7 linked regions of the Macaca fascicularis genome follow. The protein of the gene in region 4 interacts with the protein of the main gene of each other region in a pairwise test. Links are inferred from orthologs where the notes say so. Each region holds a gene or a part of one and is shown on either strand. Other genes may lie near its edges. The genes, in order: LONRF1, COPE, CLIC3, EFHC2, PLOD3, TSSK3 and CACNB4.

Region 1 (3,500 bases), on a different chromosome or scaffold from region 4:
TGTTATTTAAAATTTCTTATTCAATGTTGTTCTTATCAAAGCCTATTTCTATAATGTTTAATCAGATTCAAGTAATCAGTTAAAACAAATAGATGGCAACTGATAATATGCTAAACAGAATGAATACTAAATTTGGAGATGGCCTAATGTTGGTGTTTCAAGTTGAGGTGAAGGATTCACTTGGGATTCAGAGAGACAGAGACCAACCCTTGAAAACGGGAATGAGGCAATGTGCATTACAATGAGATCTATTATCTCTCCATCTTCACATATTTACTGACAGCCATTCCTTTGTAAAGTCTATCACCTTCTGATCAAAAACGTTTAATTCAATTCAAAATGCTTATGCCTAAAACGAAGTGCTTTAGTGAGTCTATGATCAGATTTTCCAGGAACCAGACCCTTCTTCTATGCCTCCTGCAGTTTTGCTTGCACAGAAAGTGCCAGATACACATTCATTAGACTAAGCTTAAGTGTAAACCCTAAGTACCAGCGAGATTAAAAGAGGAAGTTTCATGAGGAGTGAGGTATTAAACACGAAGAGACAAAAATGAAGTGGCAGGGTCAAATGTTGGGAGATACAAAGAAAGGTGAGAAAAGATGCTTTAAATGTATAGAAAATGGGAAGTCTCGCTGCTGTCAAAGAATAACAACAGGCAATGGGCTTGAAGGCATAGTTAGTTGTCTCACAGTCACAGTTTCTAGATAGTAACATCCGATTTTTAATTTCCTACCCCTCCTAAAAATCCTAAGGCCTTGCTCCCTCTCTGGCACTCCCTGCTACAGGCATCTCAGCTGACACCTATTTCCAGCCTCTACCTGTACAGAATGTAGTGGATACCACTGCTCTAGAACACTCATGATTCTAAACCAGGTGGGGCCGGTGCGGGGGAGGGGGTAGTCAAAGAAAATGTAGTGCAGAAAGGACAGTGAAAAAACAAATGTAGAAGTTTGCAAATTTAGGTTTACAAAAAAGTGACTTTTGTTAGAAGAGAAAAGCCACCATACCTGAAGGTTTTCCTCCCTCTCGGGCATTGATCCAAAGTGCTGAAGAATTTGGCTTCGAAATCTGTCTCTTAAATTCTGAAACCAGCTGCAGGCTTGAGAGTAAACCAAATCATGAAGCTCTCTGAGATTCTTAATCTCATCTTCATCCTCAACCTAGAAATACAATAGTCAGTAAGACTTCTGTGTCTAATCCCCCATCCATATGCCAACCGACACAAATGGAAAAAGGCATCAGAAGAACAGGGCAATATCTGTTTCAGTGCTGACCTCCCAGAGAGTATTATTCCTATGCTATACTACATATTTCTGTCTCATATGGGGCTGACCAGACTAAAGACAGACAGCAAGGCCTGACCTATGCCTAACCTTGCTGACTTAGCAGTGCAACATTGCAGAACCCTACCAAGAGCCCCCAAGTGGGAGGAGTAAGATGGAGAGTGCGTTTTGGTTCAAAGGTCTACACTAATTTGGAATTCCTTTTGTCTTTATGGATCAATGGCTTTTGAAAGCAGTGGCACAAAAAAGTGGATGATAGTTGCTACAAAAAAGAAAAGATGAGTGGTTAGGGTGTAGATGACATGACAGAAAGTAGTCGCACAGTTACATCTTTTGCTAGGGAACTGGGTCAAAACACAAACACAAACAAAAAGCTATAACAAATAAGTTAGCATATAAAGCCAGTATGTCAGAGAGTCAGTTACACAATGATGAACTTCTGCTGGAAAGGCCCAAGGCTATGGCTACCTCTGGAACCCCTCAGTGTATTCTTTAGACTACTGGGTCACCAAACTGCAAATGTAAAATTAATTGCATCAGGCTTCCAGCCTGAGATAGAAGGGTAGTCTCAGAGAACACAGGTGGGAATATCTAAGTTTAACTCATCCATCTTATATTGATTTCTTTAATGCACACTTACATCCCACTTGCTACGTGCCAGGTCCTGCTCTGTCTCATATGCACAAACTCATCTGAAAAAATACCAGGCCTGACTCAGCCTTTCATACTTCAAGGATGACTCATATAAAAACAACAAAGGGACTCCGAAAACATTTTGAAACATAAAAATAAGACTACAGCACACCAGAGACTAAAAGGCATACTTTTTACTTCGGAAAGATTTGAAATGAAAACTAAAACTAAAGTTTAAAGAGCATCTGCTTTTTGCATAACAATGTGACTATACTTAATGCCACTGAAGTGTGCACTTAAAGATGGTTAAAATTGTATATTTTATGTATATTTTACCACAATAAAAATAAACTTTTAAAAAAGGTAGAGGAGCCACACAATTAAAGAATTGTGGCCCTGAAATGACTACACAAGATTTGGGCCGTTGCTAACATACACTGACAGGAGCAAGAAACAAAACTTACGACTTGTTCAATCTTTTTTTTTTTTTTTTTTTTTTTTAAGCATCTACTCTGCACCCTCACAAAATTCAAGAAAACAAATGACAGGCTCTAGTAAACAAGGAATGATAACAATTATAAGAGTCTGTGATGACAAACGGAGCTGGCCAAAAAGCAGGCAGAGACTTTAAAAGCGTCTCTGCAAGTCTCTGCCTGCTTTTTGGCCAGCTCCCTTTTAAAAGCAAGCTTTTAAAGTCAAAGTACTTTACTGTGATAATTTTAATAGATTTTAAAATTTCATTAGAAGTCACAGAAAACAGAATTATTATAAGAAGAGGAAAATTTGCTATAAAAAACAAATCTGAGAAGGTTTTCCAGAATGGACAAGAAAATCACTATATAGATGAAGACATTATGATGAGGAAAAATTACTGGACATTCCGAGGACCACAAAGAGGACTCAAGTTTATAAATAATTTATAATTATAAAAAAATTTATAAAAAAAATTTATACAAGTTTATAAATATCAAATCTGTGATACTTTTAGAATGTGATTCCATTGCCTACATGTTTATAAGTATTAATACATATAGTCATGTAATTTAGCCATATACTCAAGTGATTTTGTCATCAAATCCAATATGTGAAGACATAACTTTACATGAAACTGAAATAGGGTTATTAACTTTACAAAGGAGAACCTTTAGCAAGTGATTCCATTAATTAAGTATGCTTAAGGTTGGCACAGATTATACCAATCAACTCAAAATTTCAACTTACACAATACTTTTGGCCAACTGCACAGGGCAAAGTACCCCAATGCATTTTTATAATAAGATAGGACAGCCAACGTCAGACTAATCAGGTTTATCAGCAGAGAGCCAAATGGCATAATGCTAAAGCTCAGAGCCTGAGTCAGAGAGTTTGCTTTAATCATTTTTGTTACATTATAGGATCTTAGGCAAATTAACACCTCTGAATTATACTTTCCTCATCTACTATTTCATAGAGTTGTGAAAATTCTATGAGTTAATGTTTGTGAAAATACCTAATGCCAATATCCAATAAATGTTAACTGAAATGAAGGGCCTAAACAGATCAATGAACAAGTGACGGGATAAGATCTGTTTTTATAATGCCTT
Region 2 (3,500 bases), on a different chromosome or scaffold from region 4:
GGCGGGCGCCTGTAGTCCCAGCTACTCGGGAGGCTGAGGCAGGAGAACGGCGTAAACCCGGGAGGCGGAGCTTGCAGTGAGCTGAGATCCGGCCACTGCACTCCAGCCTGGGTGACAGAGCAAGACTCCGTCTCAAAAAACAAACAAACAAACAAACAAACAAACAAATAAAACCCAAAATCCGTTTCACCAAAATGGAAAAAGCTTTGATGTCCTTTTTGATTATAAAAATAATAACCCAGGCCGGGCGCGGTGGCTCACGCCTGTAATCCCAGCACTTTGGGAGGCCGAGGTGGGCGGATCATGAGGTCAGGAGATTGAGACCATCCTGGTTAACACAGTGAAACCCCGTCTCTACTAAAAACACAAAAAATTAGCTGGGTGTGGTGGCGAGTGCCTGTAGTCCCAGCTACTCAGGAGGCTGAGGCAGGAGAATGGTATCAACCCAGGAGGCAGAGCTTGCAGTGAGCTGAGATTGTGCCACTGCACTCCAGCCGGGGGACAGAGCAAGACTCCATCTCAAAAAAAAAAAAAAAAAAAAAAAAAGAAATTAAAAAAAAGAAAAAAATCCGCTGGGCATGGTGGCTCACACCTGTAATTCTAGTGCTTTGGGAGGCCAGGAGTTCAAGAACAACCTGGGCAACACAGCAAGAACAACCCCGTCTCTACAAAAAATAGTATTTTTTTTTAAATTTAAAATAACATAAACTCTTCATAAAGACTGCAGATGGTCAGGCATGGTGGCTCACGCCTATAATTCCAGCACTTTGGGAGGTTGAGGCAGGTGAATCACCTGAGGTCAGGAGTTTGAAACGAGCCTGACCAACATGGCAAAACCCCATCTCTACTAAAAATACAAAAATGAGCTGGGCATGGTGGCAAGCGCCTATAATTCCAGCTACTCGGGAGGCTGAGACAAAAGAATCGCTTGAACCCAGGAGGCAGAGGTTGCAGTGAGCTGAGATCACACGACTGCACTCCAGCCTGGGTGACAAAGCGAGACGCCATCTCAAAAAAAGACAAGAAAAGACTGCAGACATCAGACAGGAGACGACTGCAGCCAGCCTGGGCTCCTGGCCACAGCACGCTGTCCCCTAAATAAGGACTGGGAGTGTCTCTCCAATACTGAATATGTACTCAGGTGAGGGGTCCCACATGCAGGGCCAGGCAGCTGAGGTGACAGACCACTGAGGCCCAGGCTGCCCAGATGCCCCATTTCTGTGAGGCCGGAATCTGGATTTCTTTGCAGGTGCGATCCCTGCTTTGTGGATCTCGCTGCTGACTGGGCCTCAGAAGCCCTGTGGGGCCACACGCACACGCAGGGCATCTCTGCTACACTTGTTTCTGTTTGCCCTGACCCCGCCCTCCGGCCGCCTGGCCTTCCCTCCGTTCCCACTTTGGGACAGCCTTGTGCCTACCTTGTCTAGCGCCTCCTGTAGCAGGCCCTCAGCGGCCTCCCAGCGGCCCTGGGCCATATGGCAGGCCGCCTGCCCATTGAGCAGCAGCAGGGTGGGCGAGCACTTGTCAGCCATCTCCTGGAAGATGTAGTAGGCATCCTGCAGCTTCTCACCGCCCTGCAGGGAGGGTCCCACATCATCATCTGTGCTGCGGCCGCCAGGCCCTTCCACCGTCAGCCCCCTCCCCAAGAGGGGGCTCTGCACTGCACAGACACAAATCTGGTATGCCCGGTTCAAGGCACAGCCACTCCACCATGGGGACCACTCATAACCTGTACTCTGCTGACGGGGCCTAAAGACTCGCGGCCGCCTCCTGCCTCACCTCCTACCCGGCTCCCAGTGCGCTGGGTACACAGAGGTGGAATTTAGGGCTTCCAGGGCACAGGGGCACAGGTGGCTGGGCCAGGGTCTGAGTGGGGACCACTGGGTCACCGGGCACATCGGAGGAGGATGAGTCAGCTCTGTGACCAGCAACTCTGACCTGCCCGCTTGCTCAGGACTGTGGGATACTTGCAGGGGGAGCCTGAGGTCAAGGCAGGCTGTGAAAACAGTTCAAACTACCCGAGAGGGCTGCCGAGGCCTGTCCCACCACACTGGACGGCCACTGGAAGTCCATCTGGGTGAGGCTCCAGCCCCGTGGTGGGCAGGGACGGGGAGCACATTTCTTCCCCCCAGAGTTTTGCTCTTGTCACCCAGGCCAGAGTGCAATGGCACAATCTCGGCTCACCGCAACCTCCACCTCCCAGGTTCAAGCGATTCTCCTGCCTCAGCCTCCCAAGTAGCTGGGTTTACAGGTGGGTGCCACCATGCCCGGCTAATTTTGTATTTTTAGTAGAGATGGGGTTTCTCCATGTTGGTCAGGCTGGTCTCGAACCCCTGACCTCACATGATCCACCCACCTCAGCCTCCCAAAGTGCTGGTATTACAGGCGTGAGCCACTGTGCCCAGCCAGGAAGTGTATTTTAACAGGCCTGCACAAAAGAATGGCTCAGAAGGGGGCCAAGTCCCAGAAACCAGGAGGGGGGTGTTGCCAGGCAGAGGTGCCCAGGCCTGGGAGCTGAGGACATCTCCACCGCTGCTATGGGAACACTGAACCCTGTCCCTGGCTGGGGACCAGGACCCTGGAGAGCAAAGCTGAGTCGCAGAAAACCCCAGGAAGCCCTGGGGGGAGGAGGGGCTGCCAGGCCAACCCAGACCCTCGAGTCCCCCTGCGCCTCAGGCTCAGGAACCCCGTCCCCGTCCCCACCATCGCTCTGCCTCTGGCCAAGCCGCTTGGCTGTGAGAAGCCCGGAATGGAGTGAAGGCTGAGAGTTGTGCCAGGCTGGCAGGGGGCCATGGCCTGATCCTGGAGCCCCACTGGAGTGGCCGGCAGCCTGGGCACAGGTGGGGGTGCCCACAGACCCTACTCAGCCAGGTGCCCACAATGCCCGCCTGCCTCGTGGCCCAGGACTCACCGTGGCCAGGCTGACCCAGGCGGTGGCGAGCTGGGTGAGGGTGGCATCCTCGTCCAGGTCCTGCATTCTCTTCAGTTCCTTCCTGGGGTGGGGACAGAGGACGGAGGGGCTGAGCGGCCGAGAGCCCTGGCCTGGCTATCCCTGCCTTGTTCCCACTTGGGGCCCGCCAGAGCCCGGGGATGGCCCCCACTACGTGCTCCCCTGCGTGCTCATACCCCACGACGAAGTGCCCGAGCTGCCCTGCCCGCCCCACCACGTGAAGGCCCCGGGAAGGCGGGACTGGAGCCAGCTACGGACCCCCGAGGTGGCTGGCACAAGGTAGGGCTCGGGAGAGACTCGCTCCACGGAAGATGGAACGCAGGGAAGGGCGACGGAGCTACAGCATGAACAACTCTGAGGCAAGGGCTTTGGAAACGGCAGCAGGGGAGTCCTGGACCACCAGCCATGGCCTCCGACCTGGTGACGCCACGTGCAGGCCCCGCCAGCCCCATGGCACAGTTACAAGCTGGCCCAGCGACATGTTCCTCCGGGCACGACCTCCACTCCCTCCATAAAGCCCACTCTCACCCTGTGGGACAGGCCCACCACT
Region 3 (3,811 bases), on a different chromosome or scaffold from region 4:
GGCCGGAGGGAGGTGAGCACTCTCAGACCATCCAGCTATTCCATCCCTGCCAGCCCAGGAGCTGAGAGGGGCCCAGCCAGGCAGGGCCAGGGCTCCCCAAGGCTTAGAACTTTGTTCCCACCCTCCCAGGCCGCACCCAGGCAGGGCACGGAGCCCCGTAGGAGGATGCACACAGGAGAAGGCCTGTGCAGACCCTGAGATGCTGTGGAAGTGCCCTGCGGGGAGGGGAGTGCCTGCCCCCGGACAGGATTGAGGAATGTACCAGCCCCTATCCACCTGGGGCACCCCGCCCCACCCCGGCCTGACTGGTTTGGGAGCCCAATCCGGTCCTGGAGATCCCTGAGGCCACCGGTTGCAGGAGACCTGGAGTCTGCGCTTTCTTAACATGGAGGATGGGACCCGCCCGACCCCGGCTCTCCTGCCCCTGTGGTTCTGGGCTCTCAGGCTGAGCGTCCCACCCTGGGGTTTGGGGATGGGAAGTGATCACGAGACTCCTCAGATGTCAGGACACCCTCACTGCCGACAAAGATGCCTTTATTGGGCGACAGACGCGGGGTGGGGCGCTAGCGGGGGTGCACGGCGGGCCGGTAGGCCGCCAGGATCTCGGCGCTGTGCGGACACGTGTATTTGAACTCCTTCTCCTGCAGCGCGCTGTCCAGGTAGCGGCGGACGCCACGCAGCCCCGCCGGGATGGGCGCCTGGCGGAAGTGCGCGCACACCGTCTGCGGGCAGGATCGCGGGGCGCAGTCAGGACCTGCCGTCCCCCAGCGCGCCGGGCTTGCCCGCCCGCCCGCCCGCCCTCCGCGCTCACGTCGACGATGTGCAGCTTGGGCAGTAGGCTACAGTCGGCCAGCGTGAGCCGGTCGCCGTCCAGGAAGCGGCGGCGGGACTCGCGCAGCTGCGGCTCCAGCGCCAGCTCGTGCTCCAGGGGCGCGCGCAGGTAGCTGTCCAGCCTGGCGAGGGCGCGCAGCAGCTGCTGGTACAGGGCTAGGGGCGGGCGGCGAGGTGAGGACCTGGCCCAGGACGCCCTCCCGCCTGGGCATCCAATCCCCTGACCCCGCTTCACCTTCGTCCTGCGCGGGCACCGGGTTCTTGATGAACGCGGAGAACTTGTGGAAAACGTCGTTGCCAGCGGTGTTGGACTCCCTGTAACGAGGCGCCAGGCTGGGGAAGCTGCGGGATGAGGGGGTGAGAGACTCCATCAGAATGGGGGCAGCCCCGTCCCGGCCCTACAGTACCCCACAGCGCCTTCCTGGGCTCTGTCCTGTGCGCGTCCTCCCTGGGCGCCCCCTCTTCCCCTCCCACCCTGCTCAGGCTCTCACTCGGGCGGCCCCAGCGTCTCCTCCAGAAAGTCCTCGATCTGCAGCGTGTCTGTCTTGGCATCGCTGTCATAAAGCAGGATGGGCAGCTGCGAGCCGGGGGCGAAGTCCTTCAGCACGTCCGGGGACCTGTGGGCAGCAGCAGGGTGGGAGGAGGCCGGCCCACCAGTGTGTGAGGCCAGGCAGGGGTCCCCAGGATGGCACCTCACCTGCGCGTGTCCACCGTGGTAAGGGTGAAGGGTACACCCTTGAGGAGCAGGACCATGAAGAGCCGCTGGCAGGAGGGGCAGTGACCCACACTCTCCCCATCCTCACTCGCCTGGGTGGGTGGAGTGGCGGGCGGTGGCGGGGGGGAGGTCAGGGCTGGGAGCAGACCCAGGCATCCTGCCACCAGGCTGGGCGGGACCCGCCTCCCACTGCCAGTGGGACTGGAGGGATGCCAGAGCTCCAGCTTGGTCGGCGCGACTTCCAAGTGCCCAGTAAGGGCCCTTGACTTGGTCCCCAGGACATGGGGAGGGACGCAGAGCTGCTGGGAGCCTTGAAGCCTGGAGCGGGCTTGGCCGCTGGAATCTTATCAGAGCCTGGACAGGCCAGGCCCCTGGGCTCAGTCCCCAAAAGCTGGTTGCAAGGGTGGGGTAGGCCCCACAAGCTGTTTTCTGAGTGATTCACACATGAGACTGGGCGCTGTGGCCAGCAGCACACCAGCCCCCACATGCCAGTCCCCGACCTGAGAGCTGATGGGGCTGCCTGGCCCAGCACCCCCAATCCTGGAACACTGACCTCAAGCTCCATCACTGGCAGCTGGGTTGGTACCTCCCCACCAAGGGGCTCTCCTCCGGAAGACTGGGCTGGGCCCAGGAGCCAAGGCTGGGAGCAGGACCAGGGCCACTGGACCCCTCTCTGGGTGACTTTCTGGGTCCCACTTTACTCAGCCTCTGTAGGGCTGCCCGAGTCTCCTTAGCCACCCACAGGAAGGGGCTCAGACATTACTGGGGAGGCCCACCCCACAACCTGCCCCAGAAAGCAAAGCCAGAAGAGCACCCCCTCCCAGCCACCCTCCCTGCAGCTCAGTCTGCCCTGCACCTTGACAAACAGCTGGAGCTTGGTCTCCGCCATGGTGGGAGCTGCGCGGTCAGGCCCGGGTGGGGACCTGGGTCGCTCTTTAAGTCTCCCTGTGCGCCCCGCCCTCCCTGGCCAAGGGGCCCGCCCCGTGGAGCCACCTAGGCGGGCAGATGAAGCTGCCCAGCGCGCAGAGCTGGCTGCCTGAGCAACACCAGCCTGGCCCTGGGGTATCTGAGCCTGAGGGTGTGACCTCAGGGTGGGGGAATGGTGTGGGGGGCTGCCTTGGACTTGAGTCTGGTGCACACAGAGATCCACCCACCCAGTGCGGAGTGTGCTGGCAGCCAGCGTGGTGGGTGGAGACCGGGGGCGGGGCACAGGGAGAACCTACAGGCCAGAAGGGTGCAGGGAGTGTCACCTGGGGAGGGGGTAGCTCTGGGTCGGGACCACGTCCACCGTGAACCTAGCTCAGAACCTGCCCTATGGCTCTGCCTTCGGCAAATACCCCTTGTCAGGGCTCCCAGCCCAGAAAACCAGTGGGTGTGGGTGAGCAGGAGAAATGGTGCCCAGCCTAGCTTCAGTTCCCCATCTGCAGCACCGGAGCATTGCAAGGGTGGTAGGCCCACCTGGGGGAGCCGCCCCTTCCCAGCTACCGAGCAGTCAGGCAGGGCCCTCCCCGCTCAGGGCGGGGCTCAAATTCCAGACCTGCCCGCAACAGGGCGGGGAGGCCAGCCTGGCTTTGGTGTTTGGCCGGCAGTGCAGGTCTCCACCCCACCTCCCATCCCTCCCACTGGCTCTCAGCACAGGTTTCTTACCCCCACCCCTTAACCTTTAAAAAGAAGCAGCAGGAGCGGGGTAGAAGCCACAGCCTGCGTGGCTGGGAGAAAGCAGCCAGGGGACGGTGCTGGTCCACAGGTGTGAGCCTGCTCTGAGCTTCCTGGTGTGATTGGAACCCACAGTTCAGTCTGGCCCTTTGGGGTCATCAACTGCGCCTCCATCCCACCTGGGCCCTGATGCTTTGGGGGGCAGCCCCAGGGAGGTACACCGAGGGGAGACTCCACCTAGAGACCCGGGGTGCCCACAAGATTGGCCTGGCCACACCTCCCCCAGGCGGTGTGGTGCCTCACGAGCCCGGACGGGGCAGCTGAGGTGGCACTGCTCGCCTGCTCACCTTCTCCCCAGGGCCTTGGTATAGGCCCCACGCCCGTCCCCGGCGGACCGAACTCCAGTGCTGCCCCAGCCAGCCCAGCCTGACACTTCTCTGGATACCATGCCAGTCTGGGCTCCTGGACACACGGAGCCTTGGAAATGCCACGTGGCTCCCCTATCCTTTGGTGTCCTGAGCCTCAGTTTCCCTCCATCCTGCCTCCACCTCGATTCCAAGACCTAATATTTTGGCTTTCTCGTACTGTGGTTATAGCTCCGTTCGCTGG
Region 4 (3,500 bases):
TTATGACGTTTGTTTTGGGTTCATTTTCCCAATGTGTTACCCAGGACATGTGAAGAATGAGAGATATCTTAATATACTGAGAAAATTCCTCTGCATTTAGATTTAGAACCTTAATTAGAAGACGGTTGAACTCTTTCACTTTGGACAGTTTATGCCTACTCTATTAAAGCCATATTATACCTTTTGCAGACTTTTAAAGACATAATATGTGGAAGATTACCTGTATAATGCTGTAACTCTCATTTCTGTTCCATTTAGCTATGGCTTCAAAAGCAATATACTCCGTTTTTTTGCAAAACTAGTCACAGACAAATGTGTTGACTTGGACAGGATGTTTGTTATTTCATATTATCTCAGTGATGACACCATTTCAGTGTTTGAACCTATAGAGAGGAATTCAGGTAAGAGATATCCTTCTCACAGTATTTTCTTGAGAATGTTTTAAGTGTCTCTTCATGTTGAAAATTAGGGAACATGATCTGGTTTTGTAGCCTAGATTATCTACAATAGAGGCTTTATTTAAAAAAAAAAAAAAAAACCCGAACAATAGAGTTCTTTTTACAAATCTCTTAAATGGGAACCTAAACATTTAAAATGATAGAAGTGAAACAGTTTTGGTTGGCTTAGGGCCAGGGGACCTGGAGTTACTTCCTTTTTGCCACTATCCCCACTTCCACTGTGACTTCTGAGGCACCTCTGTGGAACCCAAGGGCTTCAAATTCATGGTCTGGGTACCACTAGTTTTACTTGTAGCCAGCAAGCCAAGAGGAAGTCTGCATTCTTGATAGTCCTACTTACAAAATTTTTGTTTGGCTGTAAGACAAGAATCCCAGATACACAAATTCAATCGTCAGGGTCCATCTTTATCTGGTCCTTCTGTCTGTTGAGGTTGTTGCCAAGGTTCCCGCACTCAGACCCATAGAATGCCTCTCTGCAATATGCTGGTACCACCGTCACTGCTGAGGAGAGCCATTGACTTACCCAATCATGGCACTGTAGGACCCTGTTCTTTGTCTCAACACGTTTAGAACTTTTATCTGTGCTGAAGACATGCATTTGGGAAGAATAATCAGTGATGTGCTGGTTAAGTGGCTCTTTGAAAAGATTTTAAAAGCCCTGATTTGTACTGTTTGCCAGTTTCCATGGTGTGAATACCCCAACCATGGCCAATTTCAAGCAGCCAAGAGTTTAAAAACTGGCTTGCAAAATCTCTGAAAATTCGACTCTCAGCTCCTATGAGCTGATATGAGCTACTTAGCACAGCGATGAGTAATGAATAACTTGTATAACTAAGGCTCCACAGTGATTTGAATAATGGATCAAATCTTAAAATATGAAATTGCATAGGGATGAATATAAGTCATGCTCTTACAGGTCAAAAATCAACTCTGTACACTTAGAATGGGGGAGATGTGGCCAAACAAGTTGCAGCATGTGTGAAACAGAAAGCAGTGATGATAGTCAGCAGCAAGCTTACTAGTAATCACAGTGGCCATGATGGAGAACTTACTATTATCCTTACAAGGACTTTATGAGGTTAGATTTTGTGTTAGTCCAGCTCCTCCGAGAAGCAACTACCAAGACAGGATTAAATGTGCAAGAGATTTAATAGGGGGAATGCTGGTGAGGGAAAATGTGGAAGGAGCCAGAAGAGGCTGGGAGAGCTGTCAGACTATAGTGCAGTTCTGACACCTGTGAAGCTCAGAGGGAAGGAAGAAAGAGGGAGTCTTAGACTGCAGTGAAATTCTAAGAAAATTTCGACAAGGTCGACAGGGAGTCCTTGAGGCAAAGTTGCTAGTTGGAGGAGTCCTTGTTTTGTAGGAGTGAGCCTGTCTTACTATCCCTGCCTTGGTCACTCATCTATTGGTAGCAGCCCGTGGGAAGAGTGACCTCAACACACACCTGAAGATTGATTTAAGAACACAACAGCTGGGGCCTTCCATCAGTTATGTTCTTCGCTATAGGCGACCTGAGAAGTACATTTTCTGGACCTCCACACATCTGATTCCCATTGTACCAATAAGAATTCAGAGAGATTAAATAACTCCTAAAGATCACCCAGCAAGTAAGTGACAGAACTCGGAAGCCTGTGTCTTTTTACCACCTATCATTTCTGAATGTGGTAGGAGAAGGGGGATGAAGTGGCCCAAAAGCTTATCTGGTCTCAGGCTATATTTATAGGTCTGTAGATTTCAGTTCAGTATCAGAAGATGCTGGAGTTCCCTGTTCAACTCTACTGGCTACTTTCCAAGAGGTCACAACAAATAATGTCTAGAAGAGAACAGATGAAATGGTGACAGCTCTGGAAACTAATATGAAGCGTTACTAAAAGAAGCAAAGGGATTTTACCTGTAGGAAAAAATGACTTAAGGGGACTCCCATAGTTACCTTTAAACACTTAAGTAATCTCCTTTACAGAAGTAGGGCATTTGCTACTTAATCTGCATGTCAGATTAAATATAAGACATCATCTGGGACAAATAGGTGGAAATATGCACAAGTGAGGAATTTTCTAACTGGTACTGTTCAAACATGCTCTAAAGATGAGTATCTTCCTGATGTTCCACACTCCCAGTATGCTGCTGGGCATATATAGGAGGTCCCTGCCAAGTGCTTATTGGACTGGGAAGAGAGTAGAGAGAGAGAAAAAAAGGCTAGAATTACACATCATTTTCTCTCTCTCTCTCTTTTTTTTTTTTTTTTGAGATGGAATCTTGCTATGCTGCTCAGGCTGGTCTTGTACTCCTGGCCTCAAGCGATCCTCGTGCCTCAGCGTCTTGCGTTGCTGGGACTGCAGGCACATGCCACCATGCCCGGCTTTGCTTTTTGTCTTGAACACCCTTGCCTAGGAATTCTTACTCCTTCACTCACTGCCTCATTCTTCCCTTAAGTCCAAAACAATAGGCAATATTAGTTCACAGGTAACTTATATGGTGGTCTGTGCTTGAAGATAAAGTAACTCTGAAGGCAAGTCAGATGGTTCTTTTAAGAATAAAGGCTGCTCATGAACTTTTCTATTTTTCTATAGGAATTACCGGTGGGATGTTCTTGAAAAGAAGTCGCGTTAAGAAGCCTGGACAAGAAGTCTTTAAAAGTGAACTATCTGAATATATCAAGGCTGAGGACCTGTACATTGGAGTCACAGTGAATGTGAATGGTTACCTATTTCGTTTGCTCAATGCTGATGAGTATACCTTAAACTACATGGAGCAGAATACAGATAAGGTGAATTTACTTTGTGTAATTCTTCACTTGCCTCTCAGCCCTCCGCAGTCTGTGTTTTTCTTTCTCTAGGGCCTTTTCTTCTTCATCTTGCCACCAGTTTTACATTGTGCATTCATACATGTGGGCATGAATAATGGATTCGTGTGACTTGGCCACATGTCCCATCACAGAGGCCAGGTTCTTGTCTACTCTGTTTACATGCTGGGTTCTCCTCTGCCCAGCATCACAGATTCCAGGCACAGGCAGGAGGCAGGGCCAGCGTTGAATCAAGTTTC
Region 5 (4,128 bases), on a different chromosome or scaffold from region 4:
GGGAGTTCGAGACCAGCCTGGCCAACATGGTAAAACCCTGTCTCTACTAAAAATACAAAATTAGCTAGGCGTGGTGGCGCATGCCAGCTACTCGGGAGGCTGAGGCAGGAGAATCACTTGAACCCGGGAGGCGGAGATTGCGGTGAGCTGAGATTGGACTATTGCACTCCCGCCCAGGCAACAAAGCGAAACTCCATCTAAAAAAAAAAAAAAAAAGCCCCTGGCCTGGTGCCCAGGTGCAGCATGTGTGCAACAGATGCCAGACACATTTTTTCCTCCCTTGCTTCTAGTACCATCAGCACAGTGCAACTCACACAACCAGCCACTCAGACGCCCAATAAAACCACATAGAGGTGGACTCAGATCAGCCCAGCTCCTCCAGAAGCCTCTCCCAGCTCAAGACCCCAAGCTGCAGAGGCTGCGCACTGCCCACCTGCGGCTGTCTTCCTCCTCACCTAAAGCCCCGTTGAGGTTCTGAAAGATCCGAGACTTATGATCCAGATTAAGGCTGAGTTTCTCCTAAACGGAATGAGATGCGATAGAGTAGTTAAAATGGAAGGAGTGGGAAGGACATCATTTCTCTCTTCTCTCTCTCTCTCTCTTTTTCTCTCACTTTTGTTGCTTAGGCTGGAGGGCAATGGCATGCTCTCAGCTCACTGCAATCTCTGCCTTCCGGTTCAAGCGATTCTCCTGCTTCAGCCTCCCAAGTAACTGGGACTACAGGAGAGTACCACCATGCCTGGCTAATTTTTGTATTTTTAGTAGTGACAGGGTTTCACCATGTTGGCCAGGCTGGTCTCAAACTCCCGACCTCAAGTGATCCACCAGCCTCGGCCTCCCAAAGTGCTGGGATTACAGGCGTGAGCCACCGTGCTTTTTCTTTTTTGTGAGAGACAGAGTCTCATTCTGTCACAGAGGCTGGAGTGCAGTGGTGCAAAACATCCTCAAACTCCTAGGCTCAAGTGATCATCCCACCTCAGCCTCCCAAGTAGCTGGGATTACAGGTGTACACCATGAAGTCTGGCTAATTTTTTTTTTTTTTTGTAGAGATGAGGTCTCAACTATGTTGTCCCGGCTGGTCTTGAATTCCTGGGCTCAAGCAATCCTCCTGCCTAAGCCTCCCAAAGTGCTGGGATTACAGGCATGAGCCACCACGCCCAGGCACACATTTTTCTCTTTACAGCTCCCTTTGCCCCTCCACTCCCATTCAGCCTGAGGCCTCCACTCCCACAGAGGTGTGGGATGCACCCACTCCTCTGTCTTCCCTACCCTCAGTCCTGGGTCCAGGTAGAGCCGTGTGTAGAACAGCTGGTCATCGTCATCATCCTTGTACTTCCACTGGCGCACGATCTGGTGGATGGTGGTGGCAAAGCCGATGAATCCTGGTGAGGAGGGGAAGTGTTGACCCCGAGACTCCCAGGGTCCCAGGGCCTGTCCCCCAGGCCCTCTCCAGCCCTCAGGCACCTTTAACACTCTGTCCCACCGCTCTTGGCCCCTCTGCCTTGGGCACCTTGCCACTCACCACCAGAGTTGAGGAAGCGCTTCCCCGTGCCCACCTCAGGGTACTGCTCCGCCAGCCCCCACTCGGGCCAGCAGAAGCTCTCCGCAGAGAAGAGCAGGCGGCTGCCACTCTGGACGAACTTCTTCAGCAGCTCTGAGGGGCTGCCGGCCAGAACCACATCGTAGCTGGGTGAGGAAGGGGAGGATGAGCAGGGGTCCACTGGGAACCTCAGCATCCTTACCTTGCTCCCTATCCCAAGCCCTGTTACCTGTCCACAAACATGATGATCGTATCCTCCCTGTCAGCGTATTTCTCCATTTCCTTCTTGAGCCACCGGACCTTCTGTCCTCCACCGACTGTTCGGGCCACATCACCCCCTCGCCACTCCTCTCCCAGGCCCAGGGTCTGCGGAGAAGATGCCTCATGCCAGGCAAGGGGTGGGGAGTTGTCGGGGGGGAGGGGGGGAGCTCCTGACCAGGCTCACCGTGGGGACCTGGGCATCCAGACTTCAGCCTACCCCTCCTGCTGGGACCCCCTCCCAGAGGCTTTTCCCTCTCCTCACCCGCACGGTGTAGTTGAAGAACTCCGCAGAGCGCAGGAAACGCAGGTACCCCTCGGTTTCAGCTGTGGCCACAGTCATCACCAGCAGCTTCTCTGTTACCAGAGGGAATTGGCACTTGGGATCCACCGCCCAGCTCCGGGCCCCACGTGCTTTGCTGTCCTCCCTCTCACTCGACTTCTCTCCCTTTCTTCCTTCCCATTCTTAAACTCTTCTCACCCAGGAACACTCTGACCCCAGGGAGGACAGGGTGGGAGTGGCGCCCAGGAATTCCGAGTCCGTTTGCACAGGGAGGCTGGAAACCTCAGTTCAGGGTGGTAATGGGCAAGGGGCTTGGCGCGACTCAGCCCCAAGAGCACGCTGGGCGGCGGACGGGACAGACACCTCCTCGAGCCCCCGACCCTCTCCGGGCCAGGATGGCAGGCACGTCAGCCTCTGCCCCCTTGGCCGCGCCGGGCCTCCCCGGGATCTCACCTGGGTTTACCGGGTCTCGGCCCCGGGGCCGGTCGGAGGCTGAGGCCGCAGGGGGCAGCAGCAGCAGCAGCAGCAGCAGGAGCCGGAGTCCTGGCCCCGAGGAGGTCATGGTGGGGAGCGGGCCCAGACAGCACCCAGGATCCTGGGACCTCAGCTACGCGCCTGGATCCCAGCTCCGGAGGGGAGCTCCGGGAAGGGGGCGCTCGGGCTGCTGTGCAGCCGCCGCGGGGAGCAGCTGGGCTGGGGCCACGCCCTGGAAAAAAGGCGTATCCGGAGGCTGCAGAAAGCTCCAGATGCCGGCGCCGCAGACAAGGCGAGGATTGTCCCGGGCGCACGGGAGGCGGGGGAGGGGCGGCAGCTCGGGCCGGCGGGCGGGAGACAGCGACTCTGGGCCGAGCCCTCCGCTTTACACATGTGGAAGCTGAAACCTGGACAGGGGAAGTGACCCCTGGCGGTGGGTCCGGAGGGACGCGGGGGCGGGTCCTGGCAGCAGCCCTGCCGGGAGAGTGCGGGCGGAAGACGGGGAGAGCTAGGGGGTGGCGGCGACAGGGAGGGAGGAAGCCCAGGAGTCCGCCGCGGGACGGAGGCCTGGGGGAACTGGGAGCTGAGCTTTCTGCAGAGGGCCACTAGGAACCTCGGATTGCCCACGGAAGCCAGTCCGCTGGGATCAAAGCCACTTTCTTTGACAGTTCGGCCCACTTCCTTTTCTGCCCGGGGAGAAGCTCCAGGGTCTGCCTTTGTGATCAGAGCATCTTCACAAGGACCAAAGGAAAATAAGGTTTCTCGTAAGAACACCGTGAGCACATCTTTAAAATGACCCATTTCGTGGCTCCTACAAGATTTACACCTCCACACTGAGGCCGGAAGTAGTTTTGCCCCTATAAAACATGGCAAAAAGCTTTCTTGTCTCCAAGGAAACGCCACGTAATGAGTCAAAGCGGTGGCGCACGCGCGGAAGTACAAGCCACCGGAAGTGATGGCGCCCCTACCAACGCCGTGGGTTTAGTACGCGTGCGCAGCAGTCTCTTCCGACAGTTGTGTTGTGCAAATGGTGGAGAAGAAAACTTCGGGTATGTGAGCCCCCGCGGTTCGCCCCCTTCCCCTTCCCAAGTCCAAACCAGTCCTAGAATTTTCTTACCTATTCATTCCTCTTTTTTTTTTTTCTTTTGAGACGTGGTCTCGCTCTTTCACCTAGGCTGGAGTGCAGTGGCGTAGTCATAACTCACTGCAGACTCGAACTACTGGGATCAAACCATCCTCCCATCTCAGCCTCCCGAGTGGCTGGAGCTGAAGGCATGAGGCACCACGCCTGGCTAATTTTTAATTTGTTATGTGATGACGGGCTCTCGCTGTGTTGCCCAGGTTGGTCTCCAACTGTTGGCCTCAAAGCGATCCTGCCGCGTGGGCCTTCCAAAGTGCTGGGATTACAGGCGTGAGCTGCCGCGCCCGGCCCCAGCTATTCCTCTTAAATCCCTTCCTTAGCCCTCGGGTCCTGGCGTTGACCATTCACGTTTTATTGATGCCTGCCCCAAACCGGGCGCTGGGGATGAAGAGGAGAAAGATCCCTGTTATCCAAGCATTGGCTTTTTTCTGG
Region 6 (4,073 bases), on a different chromosome or scaffold from region 4:
AAACTTAAGGCGTAAAATATATATCACCATTTTAGAAGCGGATTTTTGGGTTTGCTTTCTCCCCCTACTTTATTGGGGAGCACTTGCCATTGCTTTTATCAAGTGCTTGCTAGCCATGGATGCCAACTAACTTCTTCAATTGAAGGCCGGAGGATCATGTCGGGTTCCAGGAGCCTCTTGAGCAGGTCCTGGCAATCGGCCGAGATGCTCAGATGAGTGGGGAAGGACACCCCCTTCTGCTGCTGCCACAGCATCTTGGGGATGTCTGTGTCGTCAAAAGGTAGGCTGGCACAGAGCATGACATACAGGACCACACCCATGCTCCAGACATCACCTTTCTTGCTATCATGGGGAATGCCCTGCAGCACCTCAGGGGCGGCATAGGCTGTGCTGCCGCAGAAGGTCTGGCTCAGCTCCCGGCGCGACTTGGGCAACACCTTGGCAAAGCCAAAGTCAGTCAGCTTCAGGTTGAAGCCCTGCAACAAGGCGTTCTCACATTTGAGGTCCCGGTGGGCCACACCACAGCCATGGCAGTAGCGGATGGCCTCAACCATCTGACGGAAGAGGGCCTTGGCCCGGCTCTCAGGCAATGGCCCCCCATTCAGCACGCAGTCAAAGACATCCCCTCCCTCAGCCAGCTCCATCACCAGGCAGATTTTCCCGTCGGCAGACTCCAGCATCTCATACACCTGGATGATGTTCTTGTGTTCCAGGGTACGGACAATTTGGAGCTCCCGAGGCAGGAATCTCTGGATAAACTCTGAGGAAGTAAGGGGAGGAGAGATGGGCTGGCAGATCAGAAAGGCCCACCTCCTCACACCTGTCTCCTGCCTTCCAACTTCTGCCCACTTTGTCTGGGTCTTATTTCTTGGCTCCCTTAATGGTCTTAAATGTGTCTAGCTGCTTGGACATTGCAAAGAATGTTTACTTCTATTATTTTTGTCATTAGTGTATCATTCAAAAAAGAACCACTCCCACCAGCCTCGTGGACTGTTGAGCAGTCTGTGAGACTGGATATCAAGGTGCTTTAGGTGCTTTTAGACAAAGCCACAGAATCACAAATTAGCAGGCCTGATTTGTCCACAGGCTGGTGAGCCAGCTCCTCCCGCCGCTGTCCCCTGACCCCATAGTTCTTTCCATGAGCCCTGTCTTCCTTTTTCCCATCTCCACAGGCCTTGGCACCAGCCCCTGTTCTCTACTAGCCCTGGCTGTGGCCTCTGCCAGTCTCTGTACCTCTGCCGGAAAGGAAAGCCTGGCTCAGCTTTTGCCTCTGAGGATCCTTTACCTCATGCCACTTTAATCTTGCATTTTGGGGGGTGTAATGTTCCTGGACTCCCAGAATCCCTCTGTTACCCACTGACCCACTCCAGAGCTGCCATCCGGCTTGCTTGGTTCCAGGCCAGTGGGCGCAGGGAGTGATCGAATGATCTTTTCAACAGGAGGAAGCACCCACCGCCTTCAGCCAGCCCTCCTTCCCTCCAAAGGGGCCCCAGCTCACCTTCTGGCCCTCCCATCTTGTCTATAACTTTAATTGCCACTTTTCTTTGGTGTTTTTTGGAAAATGCTTCTTTGACTTTTGAGTAGGTCCCTTCCCCAATGGTCTTGCCCAGCTGGTACCCATTGGAGAGCAGAAAGTCCTCCATCCTGTCTAGCGCCTCCTTCCTATCACCCTCTCAGCTCATGCTGCCTCTGCGAGGCAGCTCTACTCCACCATCGCCTTTGGCCTGCTCCTTTTCTCCCCAAGGACTTCATCCGCAGCCGCCCCCAGCGTTAGAACATTGTCTGGACACAGCCGCGGGTGGTGGGGAGGGAGAGGGCCAGACATTTTTAAGCTCCGGCGCAATTGTGATGTAAATGCTGTGTGACCCTTGGCCAAAATGGGCAGTGCCCCTACCTGCCCTCACTACCACCACCAAACCCAGCCCGGATTAAGTCACCGCCGAGCCCGCCCCCGCGCCAGGCACTGAGTCGTAGCCCCGTCTGGGAGGGCGCTCCTCGGCGTCTGTGTGGGCCGGGAAGGCTCGGCTCCTTGGCGTGGACGCCGCCTCGCGGCGGGTTGCCCTGGCCTGCTGCGCCCCCATCGGGTGGCTGGGGTCTGCGCTACCCCGTCTCCAGGCGCCATGGCCAGATCCCTCCAGTCCCCGGTTCCGGCCCGCGCTGAGTGCCAGGGGCGGCCGGGGGCGCCGTTGGGGGTTCTCCAGTGGGAGGAACGGGTTCTGTGAGGTCAGCGCGCCGCGGCCCGGGTCACAATGATGCCCTCCTCGACGCCCGGGTCCGGGCCCGCCGCAGAGACCTGCCCGGCTCCGCCTGGACCGGAGCGTTCTCCCGCGGCCAGGGCTCGGGCAGCTGCTTCCAGCCTGGGACCGGTCTCAGCCTCCGGGAGGTGAGCGACGGCCCAGGGGGCGGGCGCGAGGCGGCGGCGCCCGGCTGCCCGGGAGAGGCCTGACCGCCACTCCCCGCGCAGAGCGCCCCGGGGCCTGGACATGAGCGCCCAGGAGCCCCCGCAGGGTCGGAGATTCCCCATTGAGGCCGGAGACTCCCGTGGCCTTGCCGCCTCCCCCGAGTCCCAGGACAGCCCGGAGGCGGTAGCGACGGAGCACAACCCGGTCAGGTGAGGCCCGCGCCAACCCCCTCCGCCCGTCCCGCGGCCCCGCCCTCGGTCCCACTTGGCGCCCCCAGCAGTCAGGTCCCCGCATCCACATCCGGACCCCCGGGGACCCAGGTGCACTCCCTGGATGTGCCCTACAGGATGGGCCGGGCCCCCGCCTCAGCGCCCCCTGTCGCGCCCCGCTTTCCCCAGGCCGCTTCGTCGCTGCCCCGGATGCCACTGCCTGACGCTGCTGCACGTGCCCATCGACGTCTACCTGGCCATGGGCGGGAGCCCCCGGGCCCGCGCCACGTGAGTGCGCCTGCTCCCTGCGGCTCCGCGGGAGCTGGGCGGGAACGAGGCCCCCCCGCGGGCCACCACGCTGAGGTCGCATGCGCCGAGCACGAGACAATGATGCACATTTTAAAATAAATGATGCACATTTTAATAAAGCACAGCATAAACTGTTCTTTCCACTCCGGGCTGGCAGTGTATGTCTATCCGTCGGGCCCACCAGCTGCTCTGTCCAGTCCAATAACACTTGCCCTTCCGCGGCCTCCTCGCTTGGACACAGCCCCAGGGGCCCGCCCTTCCACCTTTCAACCTATGCCACTTCGCTCCTCCCATTTTTTGCTGGGCAGCCTTTCCCCTGGGGCCCTGCCCTTGTCCGAGATCTCTCTAACCCTCTCCTAGTTCTCTGGTGAAATTCACATCACTGTGCTGGACCCCGGTGACCCACAGAAGTGGGGGACAGGAGGGAGAGGTGGGCCGACAAGTAACATAGAATACAGCCAGTGGCCACCCACACCAGGCCCATTATTTATTTATTTATTTATTTATTTATTTATTTATTTATTATTATATATTTTTTTTTGAGACGAAGTCTCGCTGTTTCCCAGGCTGGAGTGCAATGGCGCGATCTCTGCTCACTGCAACCTCCGCCTCCCAGGTTCAAACAATTCTCCTGCCTCAGCCTCCCGAGTAGCTGAGACTACAGACGCCCCACCAGGCCCATTTTAATCCTCTCCAGCGAGAAGATGGTTCTGGGACTTGCTCTTTGCGGTCCTAGGCGCCTAGGGCCTTCCTTGTTGGAAGGGTTTGGAGCTGCCCTAGTCCATCCTGAGACTTGGTTTCTCCTAGGACACAAGGGATCATAAAAAGATTGGGGGAGAGGCCATTTGAAAAACCTTGGCTTGCCGGTCATGCTGGCTGACGCCTGTAATCCCAGCACTTTGGGAGGCCAAGGCAGGTGGATCACGAGGTCAGGAGTTTGAGACCAGCCTGGCCAACATGGTGACACCCCATCTCTACTAAAGATATAAAAATTAGCTGGGTGTGGTGGTACACACCTGTAATCCTAGCCACTCGGGAGGCTGAGGCAGGAGAATCACTTGAACCCAGAAGGCAGAGGTTGCAGTGAGCTAAGATCATGCCTCTGCACTCCAGCCTGGGCAACAGAGCAAGACTCTATCAAAAAAAAGAAAAA
Region 7 (3,500 bases), on a different chromosome or scaffold from region 4:
TCCATTCCTCCTTCATAATGTATCAGAATCATATATACACACACACACATATATATATTTCACTTTTCTATGAGCTCAGCAAAACAAACTACATATCATTGTTACATTTTGAAAAAAATATATGTGTTTATAAATATATATGTTTTGGGTCAAAGTAGGAGAGAATTGTCTTGCCCAACACTGATAAAAACAGTAAAGGAAGTTTTTAGAATCATCTCCGGAGAGTTTAAACAATAGAGCTGATACCTATTTTGTAGAAGTGACCTAGCAGAAACCTTTCCTTGAGGCAGGGAGCTTGAACTAAATTGCTTTCTGCTCTATAATTCAGCAAATGTATAGTTAGAAATGCAATTTTACTGATCCACCAAATAAGCCCACATTGACAGACTCTCACCCCACACTGGTTGAAGCCTTTGCATAGACTTGGGTCTTGAGTTTACATGTCATGGAACTTAACTTAAATGGAAATTCTGGAGTTCCCCTTGGGCTTCAGAGCGTTTGGAAATTACTTGCAAAATTTCACATACAAATATGTAATATGCTCAGACTTTGTAAGAGTAGGCATCTTTTTCTTCAAGTAGTAAGTTGGACATTAATTTGCAAATCTATATTTGAAAGATCATGACTCTTCCCCGGTGAGATTACACTACAAATAGTATTGTGGAATTTTTACCTGAGAGCTTTTGACAAATTATGGACTATTAAATGTATTTCATATCAGACATATCCGTCTTGCCTTCCAGAGTCCCAATTACATTGGTGCATATTTATCCTTGTGAAATATGTTCTTTAAGAATTGGTTAATAATAAAAAAATAAAATAATAAAATAAAATAAATTAAAGTATAATAATAATAAAAAATAAATAAATAAATAAATAAATAAATAAAGAATTGGTTAGAGCTTCTTGACAAAGACCAAAAGAATCCAAAGGTTAGGACCAGACATTAGTCCAGGGGTTCACAAACTATAGCCCACAGGTCCAGTCTGACCCACTGCCTTTTTTGTAAAGAAAAGTTTTATTGAAACAGAGCCATGCTCACTTGTTGATGTTTGCCTGAGGCTGCTTTCACACAAGGACAGCAGATTCAACTAATTGTAACAGAGACCACATGGTCGGCAAAGCCTAAAATATTTACTACTTGGACCTTTACAGAAAAAGTTTGCAGAACCCTGCTTTAGTCTATGAATCTACCTCAGATATATAGAGAGATATATATACACACACACACATATATACACACACACAATATAGTTTATATAAAATATAGTACAGGTATATATACACGCATATATACATATACAATATAGTTTATATAAAACAGTATAGATATATAGACATATATGCACATATACATATACAATATAGTTTATATAAAATAAAGTATAGTATACTATGAGAGTATAGTTTATATAAATATGGTATATAGTATGATGTATACAATATAGTATACACATACATATAAAATATAATTTATATAAAATATGGTATACACATATACATATAAAATATAGTTTATGTAAAATATAGTATAATATCATATCTTATAAATAGCATTTTATTCTTCTTGTCCCCTAAGATTCATAAACAACGTGAAGATAAGTGAATTACTATTGATAGCAATTTTATTTCTGAATTCCAGAAATATAACAATGATTGGTGGATAGGAAGGCTGGTGAAAGAGGGCTGTGAAATTGGCTTCATTCCAAGTCCACTCAGATTGGAGAACATACGGATTCAGCAAGAACAAAAAAGAGGACGTTTTCACGGAGGGTACGTTTCCATCTTTTCTATGCACTTTTTTTTTGGTCAGAAAATTGGGTGATATTTTCAAGAGTGTATGCTGTCAAAATAGAAGATACTTTGCTGTGTGCAAGGTGTTTCTGAAATTGACACAGAAGAGTTTCAGATAGTTCTCTACCTTCTGTGCATGCTGAAGCCTAACACCACTGGAGACCATATGAATTCCATGGCAAAGACTGTTTTCTGTGGCCTCAGCAAGCCCTCCTTGGAACCCAGGCTTTCCTCTAGGAGAGTCACTTCGGGCATTCTTTCTCCACACAGTGAGTGGGAGCTGACCTGAACAAGCATTATGGCTCCTCTTGGTTCACTTACAGACTCTCCCTTAAGCGGGCACATAATGTGATGGTACGTGCAGGTCCCGGCACTGACAGTACCTTCTCCACCCCAGGCTTTTTGTGGCATCTCTTTTCCCCTGGTATTTGGGTGAAGACAGCTTCAGGTGAAACAACCTTTATAGTGAACCACTCAAGTAGCCATGTAGATCTCAGAGTGCAGGTATTTAAAGGCCCCAGGAACACAAGCACAGCTTGAGAGAAGAGAAACCAATTCATCCTGAGTCTGCATGTACCGTGTCGCAGCCTGCACTGAAGCCTTGATTTCATATGTGTTACAATTTTTTGAAAGCTCTAAAATAGAAGCAGCTCTTTCTCTTGACCCTCAACCTCTGTTTTCTGTTGAATGCTTTTCTATTTCAAAAAACTCCTGTGTTCTTTGGGCGCCCACTTTTGTCATAATAAGAACTGCTCCAACAGTAATAGGAGATCACAAAAGTATAGTTACCCCACTTTTAATTATCGATCTTTTTTAGCATATAACTTGCCAATACTATTATTAATATTAATCCCTCTTGTCCCTTGTATTAGTCTGTTCTCATACTTCTTTTTTTTTTTTTTTCTTAGACGGAGTCTTGCTCTGTCACCTAGGCTGGAGAGCAGTGGCGCAATTTTGGCTCACTTCAACCTCTGCCTCCCAGGTTCAAGCAATTCTCCTGACTCAGCCTCCTGAGTAGCTGGGGTTACCAGTGCGCACCATGCCTGGCTAATTTTTGTATTTTTGGTAGAGGTGGGGTTTCACCATGTTGGTCAGGCTGGTCTCGAACTCTTGACCTTGTGATTTGCCTGCCTCAGCCTCCCAAAGTGTTGGGATTACAGGTGTGAGCCACTGCACCCGGCCTGTTCTCACACTTCTATAAAACTGGATAACATATGAAGAAAAGAGCTTTAATTGTCATGGTTCTGTAGACTGTACAGGAAGCATGGCAGCATCTGCTTCTGGGGAGGTCTTAGGGAGCTTTTACTGGTAGCAGAAGGCAAAGCAGGAGCAGGTGTCTTACATGACTGGAGCAGGAGGAAGAGACAGGGAGGTGCCACACACTTTTAAACAATCAGATCTCACTGTAACTCACTCACTGTCACAGGAACAGCACCAGGAGATGGTGCCAAACCATTCATGAGGGACTGCCCCCATGGTCCAATCACCTCTCACCAGGCCCCAACTCCAACACTGGGGATTACATCTCAACATGAGATTTCCTGCGGACACAGATCCAAACCATATCATCCCTTTTTTTCTAAACTGTTTGTCTTCCATGCTTCTTTTTAGACACATGGGGAGCATGTTTTCCTGTCTTGGGGTCTTTGCATTTGCTGTTTTTTCTTACTAGAACCTTTCTCTTCACACTTTCACCAGGCCACTCC

Evidence for each region.
Region 1: the proteins of EFHC2 (region 4) and LONRF1 interact in binary tests that used the Homo sapiens proteins (3 or more experiments, as listed by UniProt). The two-hybrid records come from large-scale screens. The link is inferred for Macaca fascicularis from reciprocal best matches to the Homo sapiens genes EFHC2 and LONRF1.
Region 2: the proteins of EFHC2 (region 4) and COPE interact in binary tests that used the Homo sapiens proteins (3 or more experiments, as listed by UniProt). The two-hybrid records come from large-scale screens. The link is inferred for Macaca fascicularis from reciprocal best matches to the Homo sapiens genes EFHC2 and COPE.
Region 3: the proteins of EFHC2 (region 4) and CLIC3 interact in binary tests that used the Homo sapiens proteins (3 or more experiments, as listed by UniProt). The two-hybrid records come from large-scale screens. The link is inferred for Macaca fascicularis from reciprocal best matches to the Homo sapiens genes EFHC2 and CLIC3.
Region 5: the proteins of EFHC2 (region 4) and PLOD3 interact in binary tests that used the Homo sapiens proteins (3 or more experiments, as listed by UniProt). The link is inferred for Macaca fascicularis from reciprocal best matches to the Homo sapiens genes EFHC2 and PLOD3.
Region 6: the proteins of EFHC2 (region 4) and TSSK3 interact in binary tests that used the Homo sapiens proteins (3 or more experiments, as listed by UniProt). The two-hybrid records come from large-scale screens. The link is inferred for Macaca fascicularis from reciprocal best matches to the Homo sapiens genes EFHC2 and TSSK3.
Region 7: the proteins of EFHC2 (region 4) and CACNB4 interact in binary tests that used the Homo sapiens proteins (3 or more experiments, as listed by UniProt). The two-hybrid records come from large-scale screens. The link is inferred for Macaca fascicularis from reciprocal best matches to the Homo sapiens genes EFHC2 and CACNB4.

The regions. Positions count from the first base shown.
Region 1 is NC_088382.1:12,657,745-12,661,244, forward strand, and holds part of LONRF1 (LON peptidase N-terminal domain and RING finger protein 1), read right to left. Parts: intron 1,162-3,500; coding exon 1,009-1,161; intron 1-1,008.
Region 2 is NC_088393.1:19,305,493-19,308,992, forward strand, and holds part of COPE (coatomer subunit epsilon), read right to left. Parts: intron 2,994-3,500; coding exon 2,912-2,993; intron 1,575-2,911; coding exon 1,419-1,574; intron 1-1,418. UniProt on the Homo sapiens protein: The coatomer is a cytosolic protein complex that binds to dilysine motifs and reversibly associates with Golgi non-clathrin-coated vesicles, which further mediate biosynthetic protein transport from the ER, via the Golgi up to the trans Golgi network.
Region 3 is NC_088389.1:2,334,291-2,338,101, reverse strand, and holds CLIC3 (chloride intracellular channel protein 3), read right to left. Parts: upstream 2,460-3,811; 5' UTR 2,436-2,459; coding exon 2,403-2,435; intron 1,639-2,402; coding exon 1,529-1,638; intron 1,449-1,528; coding exon 1,323-1,448; intron 1,174-1,322; coding exon 1,067-1,173; exon of another isoform or gene 988-1,066; coding exon 503-987; 3' UTR 501-502; downstream 1-500. UniProt on the Homo sapiens protein: In the soluble state, catalyzes glutaredoxin-like thiol disulfide exchange reactions with reduced glutathione as electron donor.
Region 4 is NC_088395.1:44,294,055-44,297,554, reverse strand, and holds part of EFHC2 (EF-hand domain-containing family member C2), read left to right. Parts: intron 1-258; coding exon 259-401; intron 402-3,028; coding exon 3,029-3,225; intron 3,226-3,500. UniProt on the Homo sapiens protein: Microtubule inner protein (MIP) part of the dynein-decorated doublet microtubules (DMTs) in cilia axoneme, which is required for motile cilia beating.
Region 5 is NC_088377.1:49,857,740-49,861,867, forward strand, and holds the start of PLOD3 (multifunctional procollagen lysine hydroxylase and glycosyltransferase LH3), read right to left. Parts: upstream 2,801-4,128; 5' UTR 2,644-2,800; coding exon 2,535-2,643; intron 2,156-2,534; coding exon 2,064-2,155; intron 1,907-2,063; coding exon 1,770-1,906; intron 1,687-1,769; coding exon 1,523-1,686; intron 1,383-1,522; coding exon 1,270-1,382; intron 520-1,269; coding exon 456-519; intron 1-455. Other genes in the region: ZNHIT1 (zinc finger HIT domain-containing protein 1), read left to right, coding at 3,583-3,604. UniProt on the Homo sapiens protein: Multifunctional enzyme that catalyzes a series of essential post-translational modifications on Lys residues in procollagen. Plays a redundant role in catalyzing the formation of hydroxylysine residues in -Xaa-Lys-Gly- sequences in collagens.
Region 6 is NC_088375.1:202,656,164-202,660,236, forward strand, and holds TSSK3 (testis-specific serine/threonine-protein kinase 3), read right to left. Parts: upstream 2,801-4,073; 5' UTR 2,612-2,800; coding exon of another isoform or gene 2,465-2,611; 5' UTR 2,384-2,464; coding exon of another isoform or gene 2,250-2,383; 5' UTR 681-2,249; coding exon 99-680; 3' UTR 51-98; downstream 1-50. Other genes in the region: protein FAM229A, read left to right, coding at 2,250-2,383, 2,465-2,611, 2,801-2,903. UniProt on the Homo sapiens protein: Serine/threonine protein kinase required for spermatid development and male fertility.
Region 7 is NC_088386.1:47,398,582-47,402,081, reverse strand, and holds part of CACNB4 (voltage-dependent L-type calcium channel subunit beta-4), read left to right. Parts: intron 1-1,640; exon of another isoform or gene 1,641-1,642; coding exon 1,643-1,773; intron 1,774-3,500. UniProt on the Homo sapiens protein: The beta subunit of voltage-dependent calcium channels contributes to the function of the calcium channel by increasing peak calcium current, shifting the voltage dependencies of activation and inactivation, modulating G protein inhibition and controlling the alpha-1 subunit membrane targeting.